Linked DNA regions of Kluyveromyces lactis. The protein of the gene in region 3 purifies or fractionates together with the protein of the main gene of each other region. This does not show direct contact. Links are inferred from orthologs where the notes say so. Each region holds a gene or a part of one and is shown on either strand. Other genes may lie near its edges.

The links.
Region 1: the proteins of SNU114 (region 3) and PRP19 purify together in Saccharomyces cerevisiae (affinity purification with mass spectrometry; 4 studies listed by BioGRID, with this or other methods). This does not show direct contact. The link is inferred for Kluyveromyces lactis from reciprocal best matches to the Saccharomyces cerevisiae genes SNU114 and PRP19.
Region 2: the proteins of SNU114 (region 3) and LSM7 purify together in Saccharomyces cerevisiae (affinity purification with mass spectrometry; 3 studies listed by BioGRID). This does not show direct contact. The link is inferred for Kluyveromyces lactis from reciprocal best matches to the Saccharomyces cerevisiae genes SNU114 and LSM7.
Region 4: the proteins of SNU114 (region 3) and PRP2 purify together in Saccharomyces cerevisiae (affinity purification with mass spectrometry; 3 studies listed by BioGRID, with this or other methods). This does not show direct contact. The link is inferred for Kluyveromyces lactis from reciprocal best matches to the Saccharomyces cerevisiae genes SNU114 and PRP2.
Region 5: the proteins of SNU114 (region 3) and PRP3 purify together in Saccharomyces cerevisiae (affinity purification with mass spectrometry; 4 studies listed by BioGRID). This does not show direct contact. The link is inferred for Kluyveromyces lactis from reciprocal best matches to the Saccharomyces cerevisiae genes SNU114 and PRP3.
Region 6: the proteins of SNU114 (region 3) and CLF1 purify together in Saccharomyces cerevisiae (affinity purification with mass spectrometry; 4 studies listed by BioGRID). This does not show direct contact. The link is inferred for Kluyveromyces lactis from reciprocal best matches to the Saccharomyces cerevisiae genes SNU114 and CLF1.
Region 7: the proteins of SNU114 (region 3) and CBC2 purify together in Saccharomyces cerevisiae (affinity purification with mass spectrometry; 3 studies listed by BioGRID). This does not show direct contact. The link is inferred for Kluyveromyces lactis from reciprocal best matches to the Saccharomyces cerevisiae genes SNU114 and CBC2.

The regions. Positions count from the first base shown.
Region 1 is NC_006040.1:327,220-330,333, reverse strand, and holds PRP19 (E3 ubiquitin-protein ligase PRP19), read right to left. Parts: upstream 1,977-3,114; coding exon 501-1,976; downstream 1-500. Other genes in the region: KLLA0_D03905g (glutathione peroxidase), read left to right, coding at 1-206; OCA5 (Oca5p), read right to left, coding at 2,361-3,114. UniProt on the Saccharomyces cerevisiae protein: Probable ubiquitin-protein ligase involved in pre-mRNA splicing.
Region 2 is NC_006041.1:2,037,120-2,039,243, reverse strand, and holds LSM7 (Sm-like protein LSM7), read right to left. Parts: upstream 964-2,124; coding exon 952-963; intron 822-951; coding exon 501-821; downstream 1-500. Other genes in the region: ALF1 (Alf1p), read left to right, coding at 1,165-1,917. UniProt on the Saccharomyces cerevisiae protein: Component of LSm protein complexes, which are involved in RNA processing and may function in a chaperone-like manner. Component of the cytoplasmic LSM1-LSM7 complex which is involved in mRNA degradation by activating the decapping step.
Region 3 is NC_006037.1:603,688-607,810, reverse strand, and holds the start of SNU114 (U5 snRNP GTPase SNU114), read right to left. Parts: upstream 2,801-4,123; coding exon 1-2,800. Other genes in the region: TPO5 (Tpo5p), read left to right, coding at 2,960-4,123. UniProt on the Saccharomyces cerevisiae protein: Component of the U5 snRNP complex required for pre-mRNA splicing. Binds GTP.
Region 4 is NC_006042.1:601,535-605,788, reverse strand, and holds PRP2 (DEAH-box RNA-dependent ATPase PRP2), read right to left. Parts: upstream 2,801-4,254; coding exon 167-2,800; downstream 1-166. Other genes in the region: uridine kinase URK1, read left to right, coding at 3,059-4,254. UniProt on the Saccharomyces cerevisiae protein: Involved in pre-mRNA splicing. Is required together with ATP and at least one other factor, for the first cleavage-ligation reaction.
Region 5 is NC_006041.1:826,747-830,018, forward strand, and holds PRP3 (U4/U6-U5 snRNP complex subunit PRP3), read left to right. Parts: upstream 1-1,497; coding exon 1,498-2,772; downstream 2,773-3,272. Other genes in the region: TMA17 (Tma17p), read right to left, coding at 289-771; HSP10 (Hsp10p), read right to left, coding at 3,100-3,272.
Region 6 is NC_006042.1:1,644,139-1,648,146, reverse strand, and holds CLF1 (Clf1p), read right to left. Parts: upstream 2,556-4,008; coding exon 501-2,555; downstream 1-500. Other genes in the region: mRNA splicing protein MSL5, read left to right, coding at 1-399; NEDD8 family protein RUB1, read right to left, coding at 2,910-2,994, 3,096-3,244; MTQ2 (S-adenosylmethionine-dependent methyltransferase), read left to right, coding at 3,502-4,008. UniProt on the Saccharomyces cerevisiae protein: Involved in pre-mRNA splicing and cell cycle progression. Required for the spliceosome assembly by promoting the functional integration of the U4/U6.U5 tri-snRNP particle into the U1-, U2-dependent pre-spliceosome.
Region 7 is NC_006038.1:914,012-916,397, reverse strand, and holds CBC2 (nuclear cap-binding protein subunit CBC2), read left to right. Parts: upstream 1-1,289; coding exon 1,290-1,886; downstream 1,887-2,386. Other genes in the region: KLLA0_B10450g (homeobox domain-containing protein), read right to left, coding at 2,352-2,386.

The DNA.
Region 1 (3,114 bases), on a different chromosome or scaffold from region 3:
GTGTCAATGCTCTTCCGCTATATAAGTACTTGAAAGATCAACAACCGCGAATGTTTGGGTTCACGTTCGTTAGATGGAATTTTGAGAAGTTTTTGATCGATCGCTCAGGGAGAGTCCATGGACGGTATTCCACGTTGACGAAACCGAAAAGTATGAAGGAAGACATCGAACAATTACTAAAACAAAAAAGCCAACTACAATCATGACTAGCAGATGGTAAAGAAGAGTTCTTCGGGGTAATCCCTTTTTCATATTCTGTAATGCCATCTTCTTTCCCGTTTATTCACTTGCAAGAAAAACACAAACACAGTTCGATATTTAAAGAGCATGATTTTCACTTCTTTTTACGATGAAATCACGTACATATATGGGGGCGAGTTCATACATGTTCATTTTTCGACGTATTATCGGATCATATATTTAACGACTCTCACCATCAAATCAGTGATTATTCTAATAATTACAATTTTTATACCTTATTTAGGACAAGTATCATATATCTACTTCAACTCATATGTTATGCATTTATTCTCCGAGATGACGTTCAAGAAATATCCTTGATCTATTTTTACCAATGTCATGGATTCTGCTGTATTTGTTTCGATCGGAAGAGTAGATTTTTCGACAAATGACTGTCCCTTAACATACTCATACCATTGTACTTGTGAATTACCCATGCTTACGAAAAAACCTTTAGCTGTATCGTCCAACTCCACACTGATGATATTCTCAGCGAAAGAAAGTGGTTCCATTGCCAAGGTGCCTGGATCCTTTCTTAAATCGTAAACATTCAAGTCAGAATCACCAAAGACAAACATCCAATAACCGTTCAAACCAAAGTCTACTCTTTTAGCTGGGAAGCCAGTTGAAAATTTAATCGGATCTTTTGTAGCAGCCAATAGGTTTATTACATATACACCTTCGTTTTGGTTACCAATAGCAAGAAGAGCTCCATCTTTATGATAATTCACAAATTGAACGGAATCGTTCAATTTAACTTGTGAGATGGTGAACAGTGCTTTTTTGGTAACTTCATACCCATATATTGTACCTCTTTCAGTTACGAATAAGAAGTAAGAATCCGATATTTGATGAGGATAAGCCATAAATATCACTGGCCCATCAGTTCCTTCCAAAACTTCTTCATACAACAAAGACTTTGTATGAAGGTCATACGCTGCTAATAGTCCCTGGGTGAAGGTGTATAGAACGTCTTTAAACTCCACCAGATATTCTGTGGCTTGTGACACATCAAGAATAGAATCTTGAGGTCCAAACACAAAAGCTTTGTCATTATCTTTTACAACAACAGATCTTTCATTAAGATTGACATGCTGATTTCTGCTAATCAAATCAATTTCAGAGAAATCTGTCGATTGAACGACTGAAACGTTGGAGAAGTGTTGTAGCTTTTTCTTAGACTTTTTGGAATTTGTCACGTACTCTTGAGATTTCGTCGATAATTCTGAAGTAAAGTCTGATAGAATTTGGTCTGAGTTCTGGAGTTTATCAATAGTTCCATCATTTTCGACATTCGAGGAAGTTATTGCCGATGTAAGTTCTGCTAATTCTTGCTTCAGCTGATCTCGCTCTACAAAAGCTTTTGCTGCCGCTGATGCAACAGCGTCAAACCTGTAAAGTGTATCACTGAGATTCTTTTTACAAACGTCTAACTGCTTCCTTAATTCGAAATTCTCGAGCATTACTGCATCCCATTCTTTCTGCAAAGTTGACAATAGACTTGGAATGCTATAGTTGTTTGCGATAGTAGACGAGCTCAATGATTCTGAAAGTGATATCTGCTGTGGAGTCGCATTGATTTCAACCAAATCTGTTTTTTGTAATGGATCATCCGTTATGGGATCTGTTCCTTTCTGTTCAATATACTGTTCGATTAGATGCTGTTCAAATATACATTTGGAATTAGGTGAAAGAACAGCTTTTATAGGTGGTTTCCCACTAATTGCACAGAACATAATTAGCGTACCTCAATTTAGCCAGTCCTTAAGTAGTTTCACCAGAAGTAAGCCCCAAGGTTCTCCTTTTTGAAGCCATTATCTAATTATGTATATCGGTGCTTCATCTTTCATGTAACATTTATGTTGGTTTTCTAATGTTAAATAAAAATGCTTTCGTTTCTCTTTTGAACATGCAAAAAAATACTGGATGAAGAAATGACTTTATTTAACAAATCAACTCACATCTTAGTTGGCTGGTTAGAACGCTCCAACAGGTTAGAATACAATCTGCAATATTCATAGAGCTCGAGATGTATATAGTATTTTTATATATATATATGCTAATTAAAGGAAAAGAAGATATACTACATACAAGAAAGACACAAATATAATGCTGATATATCATTCTTCTATGAATTCTTCCATTTCCTGCCAAGCCCAATTTCTCCAGATGTCTCCAGCCTGCTGGTAGATGTCATCAAACGAGTGTGCAGTCTTATCGTCAGTACCGACCTCTATCATCATATGATTTGAAGAACTTGGTCTAATTCCTGAAGCGTTGGATTCATCTGTGTCTGTCGAACTTCCACTAATGTCATCATCCTCGTACATCTTCTTGAAGTTGTAGTCATCGAATTTTGATATCAGTGGGACATTATTTAAGAACTCGGTGATCTCTGTTTCCTCAAACTCTAAAAGTTTAAATTCGTTATGTTGCATAATGGCAACATATATGAAAAGTAACTCCGCATGAGGGTTCAAGAGCGAATATGGAATCTCATTTTCTTGTGTTTCTGTAGTATGACCATCGTCCCCATATTTATTTCTTCGTATCAATTCCCGAATGACATCTTCATCTTGGTTCAATCCATTTTGACCGAGCCTTAACGACATCAAATCTGGGAACCAAAACTCATCATGTTCACATTTGCAAATCTTATGGAAAATCTCTGAACTCAGTTTCAATTCAGGTGGATAAATGCTTTCAAATGATTTATGGTTGTACTCGAGATAATAGTTGATTGATTCAGGACGTGGTCTCCATCCGAGCAACACATCCCATACTCTTCCTCTATCCTGACGATGCAACACTCTGCAACCACAACATTTGATCCACCAATACAACCAAGTAGCCTTCTTGGAACCTTGCAAAGCG
Region 2 (2,124 bases), on a different chromosome or scaffold from region 3:
CGCTTTGATGCGCTAATTGATTGGTCTTCAGTAAAGAGTAAGAATACTACAGAAAATATTATTCAAACAGATTTGCAGCAACAAGCGAAAAGAGAATTTGAAACGTTAAAAGAACAACTCTCACAAGAGATATATACTCACATATATATAAATGAACACCTGGACGCAGTCGGTTTAAAGAATTCAAGATATCTCTCTAATCAGTCGATGCGATGAGATACGGTTTTTTGGTCGAAATTTAACCAAAAAGCTTTGCTGATGTTAGAAAAAAGATTCAATAAGTCACGTGAACGCACATTTGTGCAGATTAGGTCTTGATAAGTGAGATGTAGCCGGTTAGGAAAGTATCTCCGTTGGAGATACTTATTTCATTAGATACAGGTAGAAATGTGGATATGGGCTCATAGTGTGAGTTTGATATAGCACTGAACGTTATATAGCACTATTAATGAACATATATGGTACACTGTTGCTTGAAATTTTTTTTTTTTGGGTCTTAACTAGGTATTGATGATCTCAGCACCTTCGAGGGAACATAGCGAAAGTAGAGCTGTTCCTCTTATGACGACCAAACCAATTTTTTTGGCTTGGTCCTTGTGGATGATGGTTTCATCTTCTGGGTCTCTTGCATATTCGACGGTTTCGTCAAGAACCAAGTTCATTAGCTCGTCATAACCCTTTAGGATTCCAGTGACCAGTCTTCCCCCTATGAACTTGACACGTACTTCTGTGTCCTTATATTGTGCAAGATTTATGATAGACTCACGCTTTGGGCCTTCGAACTTCTTCTTCTGCTCTTGTCTCGGTTGTTGTGATTGCCTCTGCAGAGAAGGGGAATGTATAAACTCTCTAACTGTTAGTAAATTTGAACTTAAAATGTAGAATGGATCATTGTTTTGAGAAAGTTGAAGAAGTTTTAGAAAGCCGTCCTAATTATAGTAGTTAACATACTGCTTCGCTCATTATTAGTAGTTGGTTGGGTGGGGTAGCGCTGTTTGCTCAATGGGTTATTGTCAAAGTGTGTTACTGGTTTCAAATTAACTTTTCATTTAAGTTTACGGAACATTGAAAAATTCGATGTTCAAACATGCCTGGACAAAACGACAAACATTGAACTTACAGCATCGAAGACAAAATAAAACAGAGGATATATCAGCACCGATAATGTCATCTGACGTGGAAATTATATCCGATTTGGTTAACACTCAGATCTTTGTGAAACCTGGTACATCATGGGACCATCTGGGCCAAAGATTGAACGAATTGACCGGTGTTGATGTTCAAGACATGAAATTGGTGATAAATGGCAATGCACAGAACAGCAAGTATTTGAAAGATCTCAAAGACCAGAAAGTAGAGAAAATCCAGTCCATAAAAGTGATAGACACCAACGAAAACAGTTTAGCAAGCCAATTGAAAAATGATTTGCTACATGCTAATAGCGATGACGTTTCGTTCCGATACACCATGGACGATTATGAGAACAGAAGGGATTCTGTATTACAATGGAAAAAAGATAACAAGTTAGGGAAATTTAATCCTGAATACCGCTCTAAGATGGAAGAACAACTACAACTGAATATCGATAAGGCAGAACTATTACAAAAACACGTTGGAGAAAGATGCAGAGTACTGTCCAACGAGGAAACAACGACCGATTCCACCAAGGTCCCCGAAAGAAGAGGATGGTTACGATACGTGGGAAAAGTTCAAGAGATCAGTAATACAGATGTATGGTGTGGAATTGAATTTGACGAACCTGACGGTAAGAACAATGGTACATTCCAAGGAACGAAGTATTTCGGACCAGTAAAAAAGAATTACGGCGGGTTTGTGAGACCTGCCGTTGTTGAAGTAGGTCCTCAATTCACGCCATTAGCTGACGATGAATTGATGCTCACAGATGATGAGTTATAGGGAGTTGATAATTTACATAAGTTTAATTATATTCTCGTCCTTGGCCTCGTGGATGATACTCTGAACTACGGAAATGACACCTGACACACACGTGACAGGGTCTACTACTGAATGAATTCGTAATTGGTTTGAGTCGGGTGTTGTGCCGTAGCTGGTAAAAAGGCCACGTTGCGACTTCGGTTCGAATCTTCCTCAGAACACAAAGTC
Region 3 (4,123 bases):
ATACAAATCGTTTTTGTTGCAACTTCTTGAATAGATCTTGATCAATGTATTTCTTTAATGATGGCCCGTCTTGAGTCATGTGACCACTTTCAGATAAACCCTTGCGACGTCTTGTCTTCATCACAAAGTCCCTGCTTAGGCTTGCAGCAGGCGCTGGTTTCAACTTCGGTATGAAGGCTTCTTCGTCAAGTACGTCACCTGGCACTTTTCTCCATATTTTATTCCAAAAGTGCATTTGACACATTCCGCTACCGGCGGTCGCAACACGAAGATCTGTCTCAAATCCAATCGACTCGATGACAGGTAATTGAGCCTTTATTTCTATGAATGGTGATGCCACTATCTTTTCTGTCTTGTAAATTCTTCCACCTCTGCGTCTCTTCAATAAATTCTGAATCACAGACTCCAATACCCCCGATACGATAATATCGACTTCATAGATGGGTTCCATGATAATTGGAGTAGCAGACATTAGCGCAATGTAACATGCCTTTCTCGTCATTGGCACTAGTTGAGATGGGATGATATCTTCGATGCTGTCTTCTTGTACCTTGAATTGCAAGAGTTTAAATTGGCATGCATGGATTGTTTCATCAGCCAATGGTCCTTCTTTCACAGCCCATTCAAACCCTTGTAAAATGTTTTCTTTATATTTCTTGAGTAGTTGCTTATCCGTTTCATCAGGTAGAGTATCGTCAATGAATACATTACATTTTGATAAATCCCAGCAGTTTCTAGCTGCCAATGAGTCCCATCCATACTCGGTTCTTAGACGTTTGGAGAACTTTCTCATGTTATTCAATTCTGAACTGTCGATTTCACCATGCGTCAAATCGTGTACTATCTTTCCATCTAATTTTTCGGCCATAACGCTGAGTGATACTACACCGTTGTTTGACTTTACAGGAATTGACGCGAACGATTCGTTCTGACAACTTTCCGTGAATTGCACAAGCGGTTGGCTTACTTTGATCTCAATTTCACAGAATTTTTTCCGTAATTCGTCCATCACGCAATCAAGGTAAAGTTCTCCTGTTCCAATTATGATGTTTTCGCCGCTTTCTTCAACTCTAACCACTAATGCAGGGTACAATTCGTTTGCTTGTTGAAGACCGTTCAATAGTCTCGGTAGTTCACTTGGTTTCTGAGGCTGTATGGCGAATTTGAACACCGATTCGTTGAGATAGTTAATTGGTGCTAGCGGGTTCATCAAGCTCGAAGACAAAGTTGCATATTTCGTATACTGATCTTCAAAACCTTTTAAAAGTACAATCTGTCCTTTTATTGCTTCCTCGAGTTCGTAGACATACCTACCTCCCATTAAGGCTACACGCTCAATAGTAACCTTGGAGTATTCATCATCACCAAAATCTACTACAGAGTCTACGGACTCATTGAAAATATAGAGTTTGTTGCCTTTTTTCACTGAGCCCTCTATTATCCGACAAAGGGACCACTTGGAACCTTCCAGGCTCATGTGTCTCAATACATGTACAACAGTGCTTTCATCGGATGATAAGTTGTTGATTTTGTGGTCCTGTGTTGAAACAATAGCATCGATGAAGCAGTGATAGTGCGGTAGTATAGCATGAAACACGCTAAAAAGTAGCGGCTGAGGATCCTTTGATAGAATCTCATCTGAAAGCCTGATTTGAAAATTGGTTTCGATGACTGTTCTTAGTTCTTCCTCGGATGCAGATAATGTATGAGTGAAAACCTTGTATAAAGGTTGTAAAATAAACTGAATGAATGCAATGTTGTCCGTAATAAATTCTGTTTGGTAGAATGCTCCTTCTCTGTAATTAATTTGACCCCAAAGTTGAGCAGCAAATTGTTCTGTCTTATCCTTTAACGATTTAGCGTAAAATGAGTTCACAAAAGACTCCACAGAGAATAAGAATCCAAACTTGGTACTGGCAAAGAGTACATTACCTAGCTCCGGTGAGAATCTTTCTTTGGTATATGTGTTTATTTCGTTCACGATATATTGTAGTTTGCTGTATGCGTCTGTAGGAGGAAGTCTCAAATCCAAAATTAATCTATCAATTTTGTTAAGAACGATGATAAAGGGGATCCCATTACTTATCAATTCTCTTATCAGTTTGGAAACTACAGAAGTAATTCCTTCTATCACATCAACGATGATTACACCATATTGGCAAGCAGTCAAAGCAATACCGACATCGTCCCAAAAATTTACATGTCCAGGTGTGTCCAACATCGTCACTGCATACGTACGTCCTCTTGACGATTCATATGCAAACGACATACCATTCAATCTAAGCGAAATACCACGTTCCTTTTCTATCCTCGCTTGGTCGAGGTACCTAAACGGTACCCATCCCTCCTTAACTTTTTTTGTCAAGGACGGAAGATTGCGATGAGTATCTAACGCAAACATATCCGTGAAAGAAGTCTTACCACAATGTAGCGCCCCGAAAATTCCAACATTTAACTGACGTTCTGGTATCGAGAAAAGGCTTTTCAAGTACCCTCTGTCAAATAGTGCTTTAGGTACTTTCCTGTTAACAGCTTCGCTATATGATTTCGAATCGTCCCCAATCAATGGTTTCTCAGGTTCTCTATCTTCCACTTCCAACAAAACTTCAACATCATCATCGAAATCACGGTTCACATCTCGAAGTACCACATCGGTAGAGTCAGCCTCGACTATCTTTTGCCGTAATTCATGTTGAGCTTCCTGCTCTCCTACTTCTTCCAAACTATCATCATCAGAATCGATTAATTGCATTGGATCCCCAATGAAATTACCGAACTCATCGTACAAATCTTCATCCATTATTGTATTTCCTTCCAAAAGTACTCAGTGCTGAGTCACGTCACCCAAATCGCAGTAGTCTTCCCTAAGAGCAATGCATGTGCTTATCATTCTATCTTCATTACTCGAAGCTTTGACTTTCGTCAACATTTACATAATGTCTAAGAACTGAAAATATCGATGAGCCCTCGAAAAGACAGACATTTTGCCAAGACGGATGCCGAAAGGGTTCTAGGAAATAAAAAGGGTGAGCTTACCAAGGGGTCACACAGAGCCGAACTGCATTTTGAAATGCCTGAATACATCTGGCTTTCTAATCTTAACGGGAACATACACATTCCCGAGCGATTGTTGTCTTTATTGAACGAGGAAGACCAGGATATTCCCGATGAGGTTAAAGAGTTTACATATGTACAGCAACTTGACAAGAATTTACTTTCGCGGACTTCTGTTATTGGTCTAGGGTTTGGGTTGATGAGTCCCGTACTTGGTATGAGCACTACTATGAGTATTGGATTGCTAAATGGTGGATCTCCATCGATAATATTTGGGTATCTGATATGTGGGATAATGACGTGGATTAGTTCACTGTCGCTCAGTGAGATAGTCTCGAAGTACCCCATAGAACTTCACGGTGCAGCGGCCATGCTTGCGCCTGGCAGACTTCGGTTGCGTATGTCTTGGTACTGTGGTTGGCTAATGTTGTTTGGAAGTTGGACGATGAGCACTAGTATTACGTTTGCGGGTGCACAATTGATTATTTCTTTGCTGACAATGACTAATGAATCTCTGATAGACTCCCGGTGGTTGACGTTATGGACTGTGCTAATGTTTTATCTCATTGTGACTGTGGTTGGAGTCATTAATCTAAAATTTTCAAGTTTCATTGAAACTATCAATAAGGTCTGTGTTTACTGGATCTTATATGCGATATTATTCACAAGTACACTTCTCCTATTATTCCAACCAAACCATAGATCATTCAAGGATGTCTTTACCAAATTCGATAATAGTTTGTCGGGGTATAGTTCTATGGCCTTGTCATTTTTAATTGGAGGGTTTCAGCAATCTAATTTCACTTTCCAAGGGTTTGCGATGTTATCGGCATTATCTGACGAAACTGAGAAACCAGAGAAAGATATTCCTTACAGTATGACACGCTCTGTGATAATCTCACTAGTTTCCGGACTATTTTTCTTGATCCCAATGATGCTCATTCTACCTGATGTCTCTGAGGTAATGAATCATGAAGGTGTCATGCCCATCGTGCTTATCTTCACAAAATCTACTAAATCGTTATTCGTTTCCATCTTCCTTGTTCTATTGATCTTGGGAAACCTATTG
Region 4 (4,254 bases), on a different chromosome or scaffold from region 3:
TTGAACATTAGAAGTAATTAGAAAAATAACTGATTTGATTTCGATTATTCTACAATTGGTTTTTCAGAACATAGGTGGACTCGCCAACAATTTGGCGTGATGTTCTGAAAAGCTTCTTAGAAAATGTTGCATATGTTACTCCTCAATTAACTGGGGATACAAAGATTCATTTATAAATATGTGGCATAGTTTCAGTGAGCCATTCGTATTTATCAAATGTTATACAATCTCTAATGAATTCTTTACTTGTAAGCATCAAAGATTGATAGAGGATGTATTTCATTGGTTTTCCTTCTTGTTTCATTCGGTTGAAAATAACACTAGATGGGTGAACGCTGACGGATAAATCTTGCTTTATGTTAGTATAGCCTTGTTTAGAGAGCTTTGCTATATTTGTTGGAAATCCTGATATAAAGCATTTAATGATTTTTGCTTCAATGACGGAACGAGGCATGTTTTCTTTGAGTTGAGTAAGGTTTTGGTCATGCTTAAGCAGAAAATCTTGTTTCCTACAATATTTCCATAATTGTTGTCGTATCCTCAATACTCGTTTCATTGTTTTATGTTGCAACTTGAAATCTTGACACCATCTTCGTGAGTATCCATTCTCTTCCCATTGTTCATATATCCACAAGTATAGCATGTGGTCACTTGACTGCATCAATGACCCAAAAAGTTTTGTCTTTTCTTCCGAATTGAGTCCCGGTACAAATATAGAGTTGCTCTCTTGAAGCATAGAGACAATCGTAACAATTTCAGGTAGAACACCATTACAGCTTTCTTCAAACACGCTAGAATATATTACCTTGGCATATTCAGGATCACATGGGAAATCACACATAACTTGTCCTACTTTTGTGATTGCACCTCTGCTATTGAGAGCGCCAATGGCATACAAATTTTCGAGGGCTTCGCTTAGCTGGATAGTTTTTGGTTTGTCCAACATTGGAAAGTGAAGTAAGTCGTTGATACCTAGTGAAAGCAAAAGTAGAACCACTTGATTCAATTTTGTTCTCAAAATCTCTGGCTTTGGTACTTTTTCAAGCTCATTGTAGTAAGACCATTTTGTAAATAATCTAAAACATTTGCCTGGACCCAATCTCCCTGCTCTCCCTGCTCTCTGGTCAACAGATGCCCTAGAACATGGAACTGTCACTAGCTTTGAAACTCCTCCTGAATAGGATTGTTCCTTCACAAAACCTGGATCTACCACGAACTTTATGCCGTCAATTGTTAACGATGTCTCTGCAATATTTGTCGCAAGCACTACTTTTCTGCAGTTCTTCGGTGTAGGTTCAAAAATTTTGGATTGTTGTTCTTGAGGAAGATTGGCATATATAGGTACTACCAAGAGATCTGGAAATTTTGTATTATCAAGCTTGGAAAGAATCTCAAGTAATTTTGTTTGCATCGATTCTATTTCCTCTTGACCAGTTAGAAATACCAAAATATCACCTGGTAATTTTTGGGTGGTATGAATTTGAAAGATGGTGGTGATCGCAGCATTTATATAGTTTCCTTCTGGTTGAAGTGTATAGTGAATATCCACAGGAAAGCGTCTACCAGGAACATTAAATATCGGACAATCAAAGAAGAACTTGGAGAATTTAGTAGCATTCATAGTTGCACTAGAAATTATAAGTCGAAGATCTTTTCTGTCTTGTAAAATACCCCTTAGCAACCCCAACAAAATATCTGTAGATAACGTGCGCTCGTGAGCCTCGTCAATCATTATTGCACTATACGATGATAGTTGTGGGTCATTAAGAAATTCTCGAAGTAACATCCCATCTGTCGTATATTTTAAGATTGTTTTATCAGGCGTTGTTCGGTCATCAAATCTGATATTATAACCGACTTCTTTCCCCAATATTACATCCATTTCATCAGCAACTCTTGAAGCAATACTAGTTGCAGCAACTCTACGTGGTTGTGTGCAAACCACGCATTTTCCATCGTTGGTGTAACCATCCTCCACAAGGAACTGTGGAAGTTGGGTGGTTTTCCCAGACCCCGTTTCACCAACAACAATCAAAATTTGATGTTGCCGAATACTATCCAAAATTTCTTGTCTATATTGATAAACTGGCAATGACTTCCTCGTTTCTTTAATACTCTTCATCTTGTTAATTTGTTCTTCTAACGCTTCAGCCAATCTACCGTCTTCAACAGGTTCTAAAATATCTGTCGTATCATCAGTAAAATCAATCATGGACTCAGGATCAAAAACAAATTCGTAATTATCTGAATCCTTAACTTTGATTTCATCTGCATCTGCCTTAATTACACTTTTCTTCATTTGCTCCTCTTCCCAGTTCACCCTATCGGTTTTGTTTCGAAGTTTGGCGGTCAATAGTTGTTTCTTTGATGCGACCTCATCTTGCATTTTGAATCCACTTGTATCTCCATTTTCAGCATAGTCTTTTCCAGTTTCATTTAAGAGCTTCAATAGCTCTCTTTTCAGCGATATCTCTTCTCGTTCACTAACAGTTAAGTTATTCCAACCATAACGTTTTATGTCATCTTCTAAAATCTGAAGATCTTTAACCAGCCAGTGCAACTGAGAACGCTGTCTCTTAGTCAAAACTTTTTGCTCAACCATTGACTTAATCGAGTTAACCGAATAATGAGCCTTACCATCCTTCAATGAAGGGTCCGGGCTACTGTCCAAAACTTGATCTGCAGGTGAGAATGAGTTAGTATTTGCATTTACCGATTCTATGCTTTCATAAGTTCTCTTCGCTCTGCGCTGTCCTGATCCCGTAAGTTTAGTACCATTTTCATCACCTGAGGTTCCCATAGTATGAACTGCGATTCGGTATGCTGCGAGAGCGTTCTACCTGATTTCGTAGCGCTTATTTCTTCTTCTTCCCTCACCTTTAGTTTCTAATCGTGAAAGGTACATCGAGTGGCTTTCTTGCAATATCAAATGTTGAAAACTATGCCAAATGACTGATAGAAACCTTCCAGATAAACATTATCTGAATCAGAAAACAGACATAGACAGTTCCAGGCATAGGACATTTAGTGTTCATAAAACGCTTGCAAGGCGTCCAGAATGAACTCTTCTGGCTATATACCACCTTGGACAACACCGTATGTTATTGGTATTGGAGGGAGTTCAGGTTCTGGAAAGACGAGTGTTGCTACCAAACTCGTGACAAGAATCAACACTCCATGGACAGTATTAATATCGTTGGACAATTTCTATAAACCGTTAACCGTCGAAGAACGAAAGCAGGCTTTCGAAAATAACTACGATTTCGATAAACCGGATTCAATAGATTTGGATCTAGCTTATCAATGTATCCTGTCTTTGAAAGAAGGTAAGAAGGTGAAAATCCCAACCTATTCGTTCACAGATCATGATAGAATTCCAAATAAGTTTTTAACCATCTATGGTGCGAGTGTTATTGTTATTGAAGGAATTTACGCATTATATGACCAAAGACTTCTTGATTTAATGGATTTGAAGGTTTACGTGGATGCAGATTTAGATATATGTTTAGCTAGAAGATTGACAAGGGATATCATCTCTCGTGGGAGAGACTTGCATGGTTGCATAAGACAATGGGAGAAGTTTGTTAAACCAAATGCGGATAGGTTCGTGAAACCAACCATGAAGGCAGCAGATGCAATCATCCCATCCATGTCAGATAACAGCATTGCGACTGAGATGTTACTTAATCACATTCAGTCTAAATTGCAGCTCAAATCGCAGCAGCATTTAGCAGAACTTCAAAAGCTCGAGTCATACGCTGTGTCGATTGATTCTTTAAATATAATTCATAAGTTGAGACAAACTAATCAGGTGAAGGCTCTACAGACTATATTGTTAGACAAAAGCGTTTCAAGAGATGACTGGGTATTCTATTTTGACAGGTTAGCAACAATACTTTTATCCTTTGCATTGGACGATATACCTACGAAATTGAAAACGACTAAAGTTATTACGCCGACAGGAAAACAGTTGGATAATCCAGTTTTTGTTGACTTTGACCGTGTCACAGCTATAAATATTGTTAGATCTGGCGACTGTTTCATGAGATCTCTAAGAAAGACAATTCCTAGCGTCGCAGTTGGTAAGCTACTTATTCAATCCGATTCCAGAACAGGGGAACCACAATTGCACAGTTTATTTATTCCACCAATGATCGAAAATTATAACCAAGTGCTACTGATGGATGCGCAGATAATTTCAGGTGCAGCGATAATCATGGCAATCCAAGTTCTTACTGACCACAATGTTGATCT
Region 5 (3,272 bases), on a different chromosome or scaffold from region 3:
GAAGAAAATGAATGCCACAGAGAACGGCCCAGCCTGCTGGAAACAGAAAAAGCTAAATGTTAAGAATGGTCTGTAGCAGATTCATTCCAGGGTTTTTCCCAGCAGATTACCAGCCCGAAACTAAGAGAAAGAAACCAGAACGGGTGCGTTTATTCATCTCTGAAAGTATACAGTTTTCCGAGGTCATACCAGCCCACACTTTTAAACATGCATTTTTGCTTTCATTCATTTTTTTTTTACTATACTTCAATATATGAGTACATTATATATATTTTGTTTGGAATGGGTTCATAAGTTAATGCTATTGGAACCAGTGGCATCAGCAGTATTATCTGAATCCACGCCAACGGTTCTCCGGCCTTGAGATTGCAAAGATCTTTTTAATTTTGTGGACGCCGATTGGATGTCACCGGAAGATACAGTGCTAGCCCTGTGCTGTTCTTCTAGGTCCAAAGCTTGTAGCCTTTCGTTATAATTATCCAATACTTTTCCATTTTCCGCTAATGAGTCTTGGAATACTTGCAAATCCTTCTCATCAATATCATCATCGGAAAAATTCCCTTCCGCGTCCAATTCTTGTCTGTTCAATACCTCTTCACCCTTAAGCTTGGCAACGTACGCTTCTAACCTTCTGTTAGATCTTTGTAAATGCTTCACTGCATTATTGATCTCTTTTCTGATCTCTTGTAATTCATGCTCAGACGATTCTCTAATAGCAATCACGAACTCTTGAATCTGAATTGGTCTACGAATACCAGAAGAATGTGCCATATTTCTATGTTAAGTCTATCCTTAGCTATGTATGTTTTTTCACTTTTTAGTCTTGTTTCGGTTGGAAAGTACGAGATGAATTAAGATCGGTATCCTTAACTATATATTCAAGCTAGCCTTTTATAACAATAATTTAAGCCAGAGTTTATTCTCTTACTATTTATACCCAACGGTAAGATATCACGCCCCACATATGACACCCACCCCTCCGAGGCACCATCATTGCAAATCAGAGTGTATGATGCGCACGTTACTATGCTGACTTTTTCCAGCTCCAAAGCAACACTACTTGTTAAAAATCACATCAGCTTTTCTGCTTTCCTTTCTCCTGGGCTGGATTTCCCCGCCTAAGTCCTTCTCTGGGAACTGAACTTTGTCCCTTTCAGCAAAGAGTTGAGAAACTCACGAGGAACACAAAAACAACGAGAATTAGGGGCCGCTTATGTAATTCTTTTCATCCCATAAAACAGAAAAATTGTGCTGTTTTGGCTTCCACCCATACACTACGCACAATCAGGGGTTGGTGCAATTTCGGATATATTACCCGGGCATGGTGAATTTCATCATAGGCGTTACAGAGTGAAGATGTGATTCAGATTCTATATGAGAGAGAGTTCATTGCGATGCTAGAGAAGAGATGGACAAAAGACAAATGGTGATGTGTAATAGTAACTACGGATTGTCTGGAATAATCGGCCCTTTGTACAAAAATCATATCATCATATAATGGGCAATGATAATAATACTAATAGAGGGTTAAATCGGAAATTGCATTCTGCATTGAGTGTTGAGAATGTCAATTTATTGAGATTTCAAGGTAGACGTTGTGGAAACCCATACTTGCAAGACGTACAGGCTCATGGTTTTGAGCCAAAGGCAAGAGTATCGTCTCATTGGTATGAACCGGGAGAGGTTGTCCAGCATGCTGCAAAATTAAGACAAGAGAACCGTGAAAAGTCTGAAGAAGAAAGAATACGATGGGAAGCTGAACTGGAGAAACAGCAGGAAATCGAACGGAAAATAGAAATAGGGGAACTACCTGATAAGCATGAAGAAGTTTATTTTACCGATTTATCGGACGTTCCTGATGTGGAATGGTGGGATGTTCCATATATCAAAGATGGTAGCATCCATGAGAAATATAGTTTGGATTATTCCACATTGAATTCGGACGATGAAAGTGATGATGAAGAGGAAGAGGAAGAGGAAGGTGCACAAGATAAATTCCCAAGTATTAGGTATATTCAACATCCGGTACCGATTGAAAGGCCTAGGGCAGCTGTTCCAGTGGCAGAGATTTTCTTAACGAAAAACGAACGGAAAAAGGCCAGAAGGAATACGAGGAAGTTGGTACGACAGGAGAAGGAGGAGAAAATCAAGCTTGGTATAGAACCAAAACCAGAGCCCAAGGTTAAATTATCGAATATGATGAATGTGTATGAGAATGATGCCAATATTGCGGATCCAACTCAATGGGAATCCATCGTACGGAGACAAGTGGCAGAGAGGAAAAGGAAACATTTCGAAGAAAATGAAATAAGGCATCAAGAAAGCCTGAAACGAAGGAAGGAATCCCAGTTACAAGCACACAGCAATGATAGTCCTCTAGAATACACGTGTGTTGTTTACATGTTTGACGAAATACAGAATCCTAGTATCAGATACAAAATCAAAACCAACGGTAAGCAATTGAAGTTGAAAGGATGCTGTCTACACATTCAAAATGGCAAAGGTATAATTGTAGCTTTTGGAGATGAAAAATCTATCCGCTTTTTCGATAAGTTGGTGACAAAGCGAATCAATTGGTCGGAACCATACAAAGATAGAGATACCGAAGAGACAGTACCTTGCGACGGTAAAATTACAAAGGTTTGGCAAGGATTAATTGGTGATTGTAGATTCAAGGGCTGGTTCATGCTCGATTGTAAAGATAAAAACCAGTTAAATAATATCTTAGAGCAGCACGATGCATTGACTTTTGTACCATTAGGTAAGTTTTAACAAACAATTACGTACTGAAAATGAAATCCAAGTTCGAAATCATCAAAATTTTGGAATAAAAGTAATAGTGTATGTTAAAAAAAATAAAACCGGAGTAAATCCAACGACCTACTTAGAACATTTATTTACATGGGGTGAGTAGGCAGTCCAAGTGACGCACAATGGTCAACATTATTGAGTTTTATCACTACCAACATCAAAAAAAAGTCATATTTATATAAATAATATCTCCCTTCGTCTCTCAAAATTCAATCATCAATAACAGAGAAAGATACTGGCTCATAACATCGTTCTTTAAATTTAATTCTGGTGTAACGTTCGAGACCTTTATTCGACGACCTTGGCCAAGATTTCAGAGTCTCTGAATAAAACGACTTCATCATCCTTGCCCAACTTGATTGTGGATCCACCGAATTGTGGGATCAAAACTTGGTCACCTGGTTGGACAGATGGTGTAATCTTGTTACCGTTGGAATCGGTGAAACCTGGACCAGCAGCCA
Region 6 (4,008 bases), on a different chromosome or scaffold from region 3:
TCTCTGGCTGCAGAAAATTCAACGTCTGGAATAGGTATCACTGAAGGAAACTTAAATATTGCTACTCCAGGAATGGCACCCCCAGGTTTATCTCCTCCCGGAATGGCAGCACCAGGAATGGCAGCACCAGGAATGGCAGCACCAGGATTGGCAGCACCAGGATTGGCAGCACCAGGATTGGCAGCACCAGGATTGGCAGCACCAGGATTGGCAGCACCAGGATTGGCAGCACCAGGATTGGCAGCAGCACCAGGCAACGTTCCTCCAGGATTAATGCCCCCAGGATCTGTACCGACAATGAATGCACCTGGGCTTACCCCTTCTACGATATCAACACCCAGTTCGATACCGTCAAACCAGTTGCCACAAAGTTTTACCGATAATGAAACGAATAATTAATACAATTCGTATTTTTTCTCAATAGCCTATATGCCAACCTGATTAAATGCGTGTTCTAAATCTACAATTGTATTATCTGTATATGAATATAAAGTTACATATCAGCTGGAATTTTTCTCCCATTGTTTTGCCAAAGCTAGAAGATTTCGAGCAATAGGAGGTTGAGCAACACGATCGTCCGGAAAATCCAATTTATATGACTCTTGCTCAATGTTATCGATAGTAACTTTTTCCCTAACCAAACTTGGTTGTCTAGCATTGACCTTTTCCAAAGTTTCTTGATTACCATGAACTTTCTCATACTCCAGGAGAGATTGTAAAACTTGCTGGCGTTTCTTATCTTCATTATGTTCTTTGAAATATGAAATTGCCTTCTCAAAAATAGCCCTGGTGTGATGCTTATTCTCAGGTGTAATTTCAAAACTGAACTCCTCTTCGCCATCGTCGTCAAAATTCCCGTCTTGATGAGATTGTTGATAGGCTATTAGTTGGGTCTCAGTTGGAATAGTGCTCTCGAAAAGCGCCTGGTTTATCCATATGTTCACGTCATATCTACTCAAAATCAAATACTTCTCGTACAACTCTCTAGCCTTTTCATATTCTGCTGCATCAGTTTCAAAAGCGATATAGCGCTGAATGACAATCAGCTGGTCCGATTCAGATAATCCAACATTATTGCTCATGGAGATATCATAGATCCCTCTTGATCTATCTTCATCTCCTAAATTTTCTTCTAATTCTGCATAATCCAACCATGATTGCACTGAACTAGGATTGAAATCGATGTATTTCTCGTATAGCTTTCTCACTCTATCAAACTCTTTTAGCCTTATCTCCAAATTGATGTAATATTTAAACACTTTTGGCTTGGGGGACTTTCCTAAGCTCACACCCAGAATTTTTCTTGCTTTCAGCAAGTTGTTCTGCCTAATTTCGAATTCTGCATACATTATCCACAGTTTACCGAATGTAAACTTCTTATGTGGAATGATGTCGAGGATGTCTTGATAAACCGAGCGTATCGTAGGCAAATCATTAATGGTGAGCTCTAGATAGACCAAGTATCGTACGCAGATTCTTATGTACCTCTTCCAGCTCGAATCCTTTACCAGGGACTTCGGCTTTGCCAATTCAATGAACGACTGGAAAGCTGATGTCAATTGCTCTTGATATTTTTCCTCAACCAGGTCAATATAGACCCACCAAGTAGAATAATGATAGGGATCTGATTTTAGATATTGCTCGTACTCGGCTTTCCTTTTAGCGATTACTATGTCCTCCATATTTTTCGAAGAGCCGAACTTCTTCTCGAACTGAATCTGCTGTTCCTTTAATGCTTCAGAAATTGGCCATCTTTCAACTGCTAGTCGGTATAACGTTCTAGATCGTTCATACTCTCCCTGAGAAGCTTCCCAGGAAGCGAAGCTACCAATAACTCGTTCAATATCTACCAGTGGTGTTCCGCTGAAACTTGTGAGTGTGTCTAGCGCGAATGAGAACACTGTTCGTACGGATGATATATCTCCATGAGTTTGTTCAAAACGAACCCATTTCAACCAGGTATCTATTTGAGGATGGACTAGAACAAACTTCGAGTAAATGTTCCTGACATTTTCAAAATTCAAGCACCTTGTTTCGAACTCGATGAAGGAGTCCCATGCATCGGGACCAGGTTCAAATGAACACCATCTTGTATAAATGCCTCGTACAATACCCTGATTTCCCAAAGATTCTTCCAATAAAAGATATTTGAACCAGAGCTTATCAACACGAGGAAGAGCGTTTGTTGCTCTGTCTAACAAGTTCCTTGCATGGTTGATATTTTTCCATTTGATTTCACTGTCGATGTATTGAATCCATAGTGGAATAAACCCATGATCAACAAGAAGAGCGCGTTCATAAATGGACCTAGCTCTTCGTATATCTTTCTGATCAAATTCAAATTGAGCATACCTCATCCATTGACGAAGGTCTAACCTATTTCTTTTCAAAACTGTCTCATACTCTGTTCTTTTCCTTCGTTGCCAGTCTTTCAGTTCTTCCAAATCTAATATATCTGCCTTCGTAGTAGCTGCAATCTGCTTCTTTTGGCTAAAGGCATCCTTCAAAATATTATCGGCAGTGATGGCTTCATTGGATAAACTATTGTCACCCATGTTACAGTATAGTCAGGTAAGTTATCCGTGTTTTTCTTACTTTTGTTTGCATCGTTGTCGTTAAGTTCATCTGTTTCTACAATTATAATGTTCGCACTAAATTTGATATCTGAATCATTATGTATTTATAAGGTTCATTCATGCATACAAGGAAAAGCAACAAGCATGTGTTACATCCTTCCTTTGTTTGATAATTGGACGGTCGTGTAAATGTAAATTATGTCATTCATAGTGTTAGCTTCCAATAATTATAGTCGTTTTATTAAATGCAGAGTAATTCCTCCAGGTATTTATCTGCAAAATACTTATACACATACGTATCTTGAGGTTTCGCAATGCAATGACACATGGCTCTCAACAACCGCCTCTTAAAGTTAGAACAAGATGTAAAAGAGATCCATCTTGCAAGTCGGCACTGCCGATTGTTGCGTTATCATCTCTGATTTAAAGATAGCATTACTTACTAGTTAGTAAAAGAGTCCCTACATTAATTTGATATCAAACTCTTCTCAGTTCTGAATTATCAGTTAATTAACATACATTTGTTTGCCCTGGAAGATCAACTTCTGCTGTGATGGTGGAATACCCTCTTTTTCTTCTAATAGCTCTTTGATATGATAGACCGTTTCTGAACTTTGAACATCTACGGAGATTTCCTTCCCTGTTAATGTCTTGACCTTTAATTGCATCTTTCTCAACCACAAACAAGCAACTGATTGTCGATTCTCTGAAAATGGTGATTAATAGTTGTATCAAACAGTAGACTAGTTGTTAAGCTTCAATTTAATTACTTTCTTTTAGATGACCTTTTGCATACGTTATTGTTCAATATCAACTTTTCAAATACAATATTATATATGCGATGACTTCCATGTTTGAAAAGATACAGGTGCAGAACAGATATTGATGCGAGCTATAGCTCATCAGGGCTTAGGATAACAGGGCGATGCTAGCTACACCATACGTCTCTTATGATTATAATAAAGTATACGAGCCAAGCGAGGACTCTTTTCTTTTATTAGATGCATTAGAAGCTGATCTGAGTTGGTTGAATAACAGGTTCAATGACGCAGTACCATTGACTATAGAAATTGGTTCTGGTTCTGGGATAGTCTCTACGTTTCTTATGCAAAATGGTATACCAAACGCCAATGGACTTTATTTGGCAACTGATTTGAACCCTTGGGCATTGGACGCTACCTTAGACACTTGTTCGAAGAATGGTTGCAAGAATAGCCATTTTGATGTATTACAAACAGACCTTACGTCTTCAATAAGGGAAAATGAGGTCGACCTGCTTGTCTTTAATCCACCATATGTACCTGCAGAAACTGTACCAGAACTGCCTCATTCAAATCATGCTGTTCGTGATGATGAGTGGCTCTTTCTAGCATTGGATGGTGGTGATGATGGGATGGTGGTCACACAGAGACTATTGAATGGATTGGACAGA
Region 7 (2,386 bases), on a different chromosome or scaffold from region 3:
TTGAAACCTCACGGTATTAAAAGAAAGAGATAAAAGAAGTTTGCTTCCGATTAGATGTTTACATGAAACAATATCTATTTTTTTTTTCATTACGACTATTCCTTTTCTACAAATTTTCATACATAGTGTATCATGAATCATTGATGAATATTTCATTTCTCTCCTTTTATGGCTTTATTATACTGATAATAGTAATTCCGTTCGTTCGCACCTTTCTCAATCTTGAAATACAATATCATAATACTGTCACAATCACTGATTTCTTTTTCTCATTTTTACTTCCTTTTTACACTAGGCCAATACAATTTTCAACTACTTGTTTTTCGACATACGTTTTCTAATCTTTATAACAATTCAACCATATCTCATCTCATAAATGTCTGAAATACTTTGGTATTCATGTCTATCAGTTTGTTTGTTTTCTTGTCGTCTATACCGTATATGTCATTGTATTACGTATCCAATGTGTGGTAAACAGGTACTGCTGCTAATTCTATCTTGATAGTTTACTGCCTCTACAGTGGTATATATTGTGACGGATTAGTTATCAGTATCATATATCACGGTCCGCTCGTTAATGTCGATCTTCATTATTTTCAGTTGTTGGGTTGTTGGCAAAAGCAAAAAATTTCAAAAATACTCCGATACGGGGAGTCGAACCCCGGTCTCCACGGTGAAAGCGTGATGTGATAGCCGTTACACTATATCGGATAGTAACCATACAAAATAGAAATCAACATTAGTTTTTATTATGGAAACAGTATCACTTGAAACCTTCTCTTCAGATATTGTTAGTATGTAGCTGAATCTCTTGGAAATACTTGTGTAGTCAATTTTAACAATCAGCACCTATTTAACAGGGATCTTATTCTTCTTGGTGGCATGGGGGTGTGTTATGAATTCTAAAATGGTATCTTCCCACATTTCCCTTATGGCTATTGAGAATCATTTCTGTCAAAGTAGAGTGCATAACAATATTTTTCCAGAGAAACCACTGGATAGTCTCAAATTTAATTAATTGAAAGTTACTTATTATTCTTTCTCAGCAGTCAAGAGCTTCGATGCAGTGTCCACCCGATTTGTTTATTTGATTTTTCACAACCTGTCACTGACACAAAGTATTCAGTACTTATAATATGGCTTATATGGAAAAAAAAAAAAAACTTGAAAGATTCATTCAACTTTAAATTTGGGATTGAAATGATTAAGTAAAATCTATAGGTTCATAAGACACCATAGCTCCAGATAAACTCCAAATACCCCAAACTAGCATCAGTCAAGCAAATACCATGTCTCTAGCGGAGTTTGATGAGATTAAGTACGATCACAGTTGTGATAGGTTAGATAAGCCCTCTCGTTATTTGATCCGTAAGGCTAGACGTGACCCAGATTCTGGATTGCAACAGTTGAGAAAATCTATGAAATCCTGTACAGTTTATGTGGGTAATCTATCGTTTTACACAAGTGAAGAGCAAATATATGAGCTATTCTCCAAATGTGGCACCATAAAAAAGATTATCATGGGTCTAGATAGGTTCAAGTTTACGCCGTGTGGATTTTGTTTTATTATATTCGATAAGATGGAAGACGCATTGAATTCTATAAAATACTTGGGTGACACGAAGTTAGATGACCGTCATATAACCATTGACTTGGATCCTGGGTTCGAAGAGGGAAGACAGTTCGGTAGAGGTAAGAATGGTGGTCAAGTTAGTGATGAGATGAGATTCGAATTCGATGCGTCCAGAGGTGGGTTCTACACTCCACTTGAGAATAGAATTGGAACAAATGCCAACTTCGGGGCCAGAAGAGTTAAAAACATTCCAATACAGCAAGAGGATGAAGAATATGAAGAAGATGAAGATGCTTACATTCCAGGCCAATAAAAACAGTACAATCATAAGGTCGTTTATCGATGTGTATATATCACATTTCAATCTAAGTACCTATTTCACTAAGTTAATTGATTTAAAAGAATAATACTGTGGTAAGAAGTATTTTATTTGAATATATAGCTAGTTCATATTAGAGCTAAAGATATCTCGATATAATAAAAAATTTTGCCGCTTTAATCCATCAATAGGAGTTGGGTGAAATGAATGGATGGTAGATAAAAGAGCAGACAAACACTAATAAACTAATAAATGAAAGAAAGTTAAAGCTGTGCCTTATAATGAGCTCGTGACAGCTGGAATTGAAGATTGACCGTAGACAAAACAAAAAAAATTAAGAATATAAAGAATTAGGAGAAAGAAAAGACCACCTTAATATGAAGGGGTAAAATCTTCTTCTCATGCATGCTAAACGATAACCGAAAAAGTGTAGATTTATGATATGCATTACGACAAATGTCACGATGGTTGTCGACGATGAGAAGGTGGGGGCA